2 linked regions of the Bombyx mori genome follow. The protein of the gene in region 1 binds, or shares a complex with, the protein of each later gene. Links are inferred from orthologs where the notes say so. Each region holds a gene or a part of one and is shown in the gene's direction. Other genes may lie near its edges. The genes, in order: sterol regulatory element-binding protein cleavage-activating protein and protein TRC8 homolog.

Region 1 (3,834 bases):
AATAACCCCTCGAGGTTACTAGAATAAGTAGGATAAAAAAAAACATATATTTTTTGTTTTTCTATAAACGATGGGCGTTAATCTGACAAACAGATTCACAGTGGGAGTCACATTTTTTTTTTATTATTTCAATATGTTACCTAATGAAAAATTATGAGTTAAGTTATCTAGGGCGAGCTGTATATGATCGGTTTAAGTGAGTGTGGGTAGTGATGTAGTGCGTGTGCGGGGGCGGCGAGGGCGTGACGCACGTGCGGGCGCTGGCGGGCGCGGCGCGGGTGTGTGCGGCCTCGCTCTCCGGGCACCTCACTCTGATGCGCCTCGACGCCTACAACAGTGCGTCGGGCGCCCATGTCGACTGGGGCTTCAGCACCGCGCACAGACGAAGTAAGCACCCGAGCTGAGAGAGAGAGAATACACTTTATTGCACACCAAAACACAATTTACATTCAAAAAACAGTCAAAAAGCAGATAGATTTGTACAATAGGCGGTCGTATCGCTTAAAGCGATCTCTTCCAGACAACCGTTTAATTTACAGAAATTCTGGAAAATATAAAAATATAGCAGCTATATTGCGGTGTACTAAATACATATATATACCATTTACATATAATATGAAATATATAGTTAACTGATTTATATACCAATATACATACTTACATACAATACATACTAATATACTTACATACACATAATAAATCAACAGTATGGAAATTATAAATGATAATGATGCAAACAAACAGCACTAAGCATATAAGTAGTGTTCCTTCACCATTCTTTTAAAACAGTTTAAAGTTGGAGCACTTCTCACTGCATCCGGCTACTCACTAATCGAACCGCCTGGACGGTGAATGAATTATCAAAGAATGTTGATGAATATATTAATATCGTCTTCGCTGATATATCGTCTTTTCGCATTGAAAGTGTATAATAAAAATATTCGAAATTGAGTTAATATGCGGAATCATTTGGTATAACCGGTATTTTTCTCATAAATACTGTCAAAAGAGCGTAGTATAGTTTTAGTTTTTTTTTTTTTTACTTTACCTATGTTTTGACTACTATTATTAAAATTAATATATCATTTTATCTTACTTAAAAGATAAATATTGATAGTGGTAAAAAAAAAAGAAAAATGTTGCAAAGATGATTAATATTAAAAATATCACATGTTAAACCTTTAAAATACTCTCCTGTAAAATTAGTAAGTTTTGAGATTATACAGTTTTAATGCGAGAAGACGAATATAACCACCTAACAGGAACGACTCGGAAAACTAAAGGCTCGCGCACATAGTTGGAATGGGGGGTTATTGCATAACAAAAATCCCACGTACTCCATTTTCGTGCATTTCATATGGACTATCGGACTGCAATATGCGCGAGCCTTCTGTCCTTTTGGAATTAATAATTTATTTTCGACCTTATCGTTTGAGTCTTTCCTGTTAACGTAACATATAATGTTGTTATTTTTTCTAAATATTACTAGCTTAGTTAAGGATGTCGTAATATAAATCTTGCTGCAAACGTTGAGATTATATCTTCATTGCATCAATATAACCAATAAATATAGTTCACTTCCAGATAGTGTAGATGAGATTTGACAATATACAGTTTGTAGTCTGTAGCTGTGTGTATTTAAATTTTAGTTGGTTCAAATAGTTTTAAATTACTAAGTTTTATTATTCAATATGGCTTTTTTTTTTTTTGAAATATTATTAAACTGTGCCACTTACAAAATGATCATATAATTTATACAAAATTGGTGCAGAATGAAGCAACATTTACTTTTGTGATTCATATTATTTTGACGAATAGCTCATTTATTTTTATTTATTTGCCAAGAATAACAAATACGTTTGCTTGAATTAAGTCGTAAATCTGTATTTGTGGGCTGCTTGGGATGTGAACGTAAAAAAGCACAGAGTATTTTTTTTTTAATTAACGTCAATGTCTTATTAATTATCTCACAGCGCACAAGCGGAACGGTTCGACCGGCTCGTTACAGACGAGCTTCGGCGTGAACGACGAAAGCTCCCGATACAGAACTAATTTCACCTACAAAAGCGATCCTAATGACGGAGAAGGTACGAATTGCATTCGATCGAACTTTAGTCAATAATGTATTTATTATACGCGGTGAACTTACCCTGCCGTTATTAACGAAAATATAAACTGTCTCGAAATTTGAATTTGTAATTCAAAAAGAATGAAAGACGCTTCATTTTCCCGGGATAATAGTACATTGTTTACCAAGGGAGAAAAGTAGGACATTCCTTCCCAGGATGAAATGTCCTACTTTTTTCCCGCGTTGCACATACTATTTTTTCTCCTACTAGACCTAAAGTTTGTGGAGTACCGAGCCGGGGTCCAGGGGCGAAGCCCCGGTGGGGTTTAATTTTTAAATAAACTACTACTAATTGAATAAGAACTGTCTAATAAACTCATCTTTGTTTAATACTTCACTATTAAAATTTATTGCCTTTTGTTTATTTCACTTTTACACTAAACAATATTGCAAATTACCCTAGCACAACAATGGCGGAAAATTCTAAGTGCATGAGAGTAGATGTAGACACTAACGCGCATGCGCACTTGTACCCAGGGAGGAAAAGTTACACTTTCTTCCCTGTACGGCGGGAGGAAAAGTTAGACTTTCTTCCCTGTACAGCTGGAGGAAAACCGAACTTTCGGCGTAGGTAGGATAAAAAAGAGTTGATTTTGTCGCTCTTTGTTCCGTAAACTACCATTCGATTTGTAGATCTGTTCGTACGTACGTAATCACGAACCATGGAACAAACTGTCGTATTTTAATACGTTTTTATTAGCTTCAGACGTATGTATGTTAGTATGTAATGGAATCTTTGAACATGATTTTGACCCCCTTCAAAAAGGCGGATTAACTTGAAATTTGGTATACTTATTAAGGACCGATGACAATTCAATATTTAAAAAAAGAAAAATGAAAAAAATTAAATATGAAAACATTAAATTCAGCTAAAAAATTAAACATAAATAATAGTTTAAAAAAACTAACAAAATACGTTTTTATAGAAAATCCAACTAAAAAATAGAAAATAAATTTTAATAAATTTGAATTAAAAATAGTATAAATATTTTATATATAAAAAAGTATTTTATGAACAGATATGAGCAGAGGGGTTGTTTTGATTATATCTAGTATAACTTAAACAGTGATGTTTCCTGTCTTTTATTTTTATAATCGAGTTAAATTATTTTATTATTAATTCATAGAGGTGGTGTGCGTTCGAATAGCGCAGTGCAGGCCTCATCAGCAGCCTGTTACTGAGATGCACTCGGAAGGCGGTCGCATCTTAACCGGAGGTCAGGATCACGTGGTCAAGGTAAAACAATAATAATAATAAATAATAAGCGTAAGGCCTTGTCCGCACTGCGTAATTCCGTAACACATTTAATCCTATAGGAGTAGCCGCACTGACGGTTAAAAAAAACGTACGAGAAAAAAATCTGTGATTAAGGCCTTGTCCGCACAGCGATATTTCACCGCGCGTTTTTTTTCTCGTAATTCTGTAACACATTTAATATTATAGGAGTATCCGGAGCAAAAAAAATCGCGCGGGAAAAAAATCTGTGACTTATGCAAATTGAACGCGAAGCGGTGCGATTTATTTCCGCGCGAATATTTTGTACCGTATAAAGTAAGTATGGCTATGTTCGCACTGTGGAATAAAATTCGAATAAAATTAGTTCGGTTGTCCATTTTACACGTGCGTCTCAGCCGAAAACTGAATTAAACTAACAAAAATATTACTAAATTTTATTCGCAGTGCGTACTAGGTGTAATTCCGATCG
Region 2 (4,629 bases), on another chromosome or scaffold:
TCTTTCGAACTTTCACGAACTAGCTTTGAGATTGAGCTTTGCAGGCGGCAACATTCATTACGTGAACATAATCATTGTGTTAAAGAAATGTAAGCACCTTCAGTTAGGTATTAAAATTAAGTTACGTTTAATGCAATGTTACTTGTCCTAGGATTAGATGGCAGGCCGTAAGACGTCTAGTAGGTACCACCACCCTGGTTGTTCCAGCGGCGTAGAAGTAATATGTTCCAGTTCGAAGGGCGGGGCAGCCATTGTACTATAGAACTGAGATTTACCATAGAACTCGGTTCTTAAGGTGTTTGAGGTTATTTAAATTAGTTATATCGTAGAATTTGTTACCATTTAACAATCAGATGGACTATGAGCTCGCTCACCCAATTTTAAGCAATTTAAAAAGCTATTATAATGGAACCAAATATCCGAACGTGCGACACCGCCCCAGCCGCCGCCTTGCCCCCCCGCTGAGACAGCTCTCGAGGAGAAAAAACACGCGCACTCGGCGCGCGCGACGTCGACCTACAAAATATTGTCAGTCTTAGTTTATCTGTACGGTTCTCAACTCATTTTGTAATATTTTAGTTTTTGTGTCGCTTTTATATTAAAACCTCATACAAATCAGTTGTAAACATTATTTCCATATCATCTTCGCAAACAGCCCGGAACACCGAACTCACAAAAGCCCCGCCAGTCGGACTTTTAGTGTTAAACTATGAAAATTACAATTGTTGTGTGCCTCTAATTAAAGATATTGTACGAGAACCTGAACAACAACTGATAACGAGAATATTAAAACTAACTTCGGTAAAAAAAAAAAGTTATTTTTGCAAGCTACCAGTTAGTTATAGGCCTGTCCTGGTGAAACTGGAAAGGCCTCCGGGCCAACAATAATCTTTCAATCATAAAAAAAAACATTTATCCAATTCAGCCGGCTCAGCACGTTTCTTAGCTTTTTTACTATTATTTTCTTTGCCTACGGCCAGACCATTAACCCTTGTGGTCACACATTTCCAACTTGTCAATTCTACATTTTGTGGCTGGAACTCAAGGCATTGATTTAGCTAATTTACCGGCACGATCTCTGGTCTCGAAGGGGAATGTAACGGTAGCTCTCAGATAATAATAACTTTAACTAATAATATAACTGGGAACAAATTACACAGTGTTATCCGGCCCCAATTTAAAGTTCCCTGTATTATGGGTACATGAGATTGATAAACTTAGTTAAATATCTTTCTTCTTTCTATCTAGTTCTGTCTTTCAATAGATACATATACAGATAATAAACACCCAGACAGTGCTATCAAACCTGTTCATCACACAATTTTTGCCCGATGTGGAAATCACCACCACCACTCACGGCGCAACGGTTAGGGGCGCAACTACTGCACGATCGAAATAGTAAAAAAACTCAGAGGATAATACACGATACTTCTCTAAAACCTGAATATCTCACAATATGTGTGCAGCATGTACTGTAGAAATCTACCTTCAAAAGGACTCATTCTCATTCTTTCAAACATTCGATGCAAGTTGTGTATGTTTCTCTTTTTAGAAACGCTTATCAACGAGTTTCACATCACAATAGTGTTAAAGACTAAGTAAGTAACTAAAACTAGACTAAATAATTAAAAAGATAAGAAACCTTGACGTGGCTCTTCTCTATCTTTTACAAGATAGAAGGGCCCTTATTTTGACCTACAATGTACTTTACAACTCAAAACCATAGTACATTTTCTCACAAAGAATATGACAACACTAAATTGTCTCTTTCATCGCTCTACTTAGGTTTCATTATCTATGGTTTTATTTACTTCGAAAATTTGGCAACAGGGCAACATCTAAATTTGTAACGTCAAATTTTTATTGTCGCAAATTTTCAGTCATTTTTTCGTATCAATTTACGTTTTTTTTTTTTAAAACAAGACGAATAAAGCACATCTTTATAAGTTCAATTTTATGTATTAAAATATATCTCAACTTGGTATAGTAGACGTATGCAGTGTGTAACAGATGCTTGTGTTGTATTTAAATTGTCAGTGATAACGTGTGTGACTTTCCGCTTAAATGAATAATGTCGCTGAGGTTGAAGGCCCTGGCACTAGTGGAGGTGCTACTGAGGGTGCCACCGTTGTTTGTGGTGGATGAGTTCCTTAAGATCAGCCTAGGGCTGCCCGTGTCCAGCGAGGAAGTGCCAGTATTGAGCAATGTCACAGTGGACCACGTCGATATATTGGAGCCAGATGTGAATTACTACGATGCTAACTTCTATAATGCATTTTTCGTCACTTTTTTCAAGTTCCTCGTTTGCTGTTCAGGTGAGAAAAATATTTATACATCATCAACACAACAAAATTATGTTAATCTTTTACAATAATTCAAAGTTCAATTAAAATTTTTGCGTAGTTTTATTTGGACTATAGTGTTACTGATAAGTGATTCTACTTATATGTATAAATCAAGAATTTTGATTTTAAAAGGTCTTGTAGTATTTTCTTCGGCTTTTGCGAGTCATAGAATCATAACTAACTTTATAGTTTAAACTCACATTTAATATTCTCATTATTTTTCCGACGCTTCGAATACTGTAAAGTTTTCATGATCAGGAATAACTCATCAAAGTAGACTTATTTACATTTTTACAAAAATAAACCAGTTGCAATAAGGAAAAATGAATGTTGTTGAAAAAGGGTACTTAAACCAAAATTCTTAGTATTTGAGAAATGTACCCAAAGTCCAAATTTCTGAAGGTGGACTGATATTTCAGAACAACAATTTAAGATCTTATTTTGTTCCATAGTTGTAATAGGTTTTTGGGCACCTCTAAAAACAAGCAAATTAGTTGCTGCAATACAATATTCATCATTATATTTTGACTTCATTCTCACAATGTAATAAACTGTGTTTATTATTGTTATTTATTGTGCATTTGAATTCTGATAGCCACTTAACACTAGATGGGTAATTTACTCATCTACTTATGTATGGCATAAGAAACTGATCTGCTTATTATGAAAATCAAACCATTATCCATACAGTTATTACTTATCAACAAGAATATACGCACAATGGTCAATTGCTACCACAATCAGCCTAATCAGAAAGTGTGTACCAAACATTTATAAGGTGGCAACTTGACAGGGGCAACTTTGTGTCAGCCATGTTTTAGTGTGAATTTTATATAAAAACATGTCACTCTGTAAATGAAATTGCCATGGAATATTAGGTTGTACTGACAACTATTTTATTCTTTAATTTTTTTTTCGTGTTTACTATATTTCACCCACATTCCTTTATGAAGAATATGGAGTCAGTAGGATCCAAAACTAAATTTACAAAAGGGATATAAACAAGTGATTTGTAATTTTGTATTAACGAGTACTTACTCTCTAGTGCTAAAGCTTCTGGAATAAAAACTTATATAGCAACATTGTGTTTTTGCATTGCCCTTGTAGGCAGACAACTATATGGTCCACTTGATGGTTAGTGGTTAGTCTTCCACGGATGTCAGCAATGCCAGGCAGAACCAAGCCGCTATCTACTGTTTAAAATTTACCAGTTTTTAAAACCAATTAATAAATTATTGAAATTTTACTGATCTAAAATTTAATGAAACACTAGTGATACTAACAAGATATAAACTTATATATCTATAGATTTTATAGCCTGTGAGAGAACAAGACATAATATTTCTGAAGCTTTAACTTCTACAGAAAAAAAACTCAAATCAGAAACGCCTTCATAACTTAAGCAAAATTACAGAGTAAACTATTGTCATTGTCTAATATACTACTTCGGACAGTGACATGATGAAACTTTAAGAGCATTTAAGAGATTACAAAAACAATTCGTAATTGCAAGAAAAGGACAGCAATACATCACAATTTTCATCAAAAACTTAACTGTTTTATCCCCATTAGACTTTGAGGTCACATCTCAAACTGGCTGCCAGTATTTACATGACATCTATTGGCAATCTATTTCATATAAAACTTGTTGGGACATTTACATGCTTAACATGTTAAACATCACTCCTATTCTTAAGGAAGTTCCCTGTGGAAATTGAATGGCATGCTAAAAACAATAACACAGACCAATAACCTCTAACTCCAAAAAAGTATGATTATCGTTTATTGAGTTATGATAAATATGCACCAAAATACAGTAGAACAACGGCCAGAAAAACAATTAAGCAAGTTGTTACATTTTATGTTCGGTTTTTTATGATAGGTTCATAAGTGTAAAGGATGAACATACTTTAATAAATTTGATTAAATCATTAATTAATGAATTTGAATAAATTTTCAATAGTATATTAAAGCATGTTAAACACTGTAAATCACTGGTGTTTGACATGGCCGTATCTGACAGACCAGCATCAGCCGTCGATGATTGAGCTCGTGCTTAACATGTTAAGCTTATTTCATAAAATACATAAACCTTGATAATTCATACCAAAAATAATGCTTGGAATCAACTACCTATAATATTGTCTTATCTTGACAAATTGCAAAAAAATATTGTCAAAATGACTAAGCGGTAAGTAGAAGTCAATGACATGTTTTCTTTTTGCTGTGTCATCGTCAAATTGTTCAGTTGTATTTGGAGACTGATGGATCTTAACAGTTAACA

What was found.
Region 2: sterol regulatory element-binding protein cleavage-activating protein (region 1) and protein TRC8 homolog share a complex: the UniProt entries of both Homo sapiens proteins name them as parts of the SCAP-SREBP complex. The link is inferred for Bombyx mori from reciprocal best matches to the Homo sapiens genes SCAP and RNF139.

Annotation. Positions count from the first base shown.
Region 1 is NC_085107.1:13,849,440-13,853,273, reverse strand, and holds part of sterol regulatory element-binding protein cleavage-activating protein, read left to right. Parts: intron 1-218; coding exon 219-387; intron 388-1,973; coding exon 1,974-2,087; intron 2,088-3,255; coding exon 3,256-3,365; intron 3,366-3,834. UniProt on the Homo sapiens protein: Escort protein required for cholesterol as well as lipid homeostasis.
Region 2 is NC_085132.1:9,862,363-9,866,991, forward strand, and holds the start of protein TRC8 homolog, read left to right. Parts: upstream 1-1,757; 5' UTR 1,758-2,071; coding exon 2,072-2,315; intron 2,316-4,629. UniProt on the Homo sapiens protein: E3-ubiquitin ligase; acts as a negative regulator of cell proliferation through mechanisms involving G2/M arrest and cell death.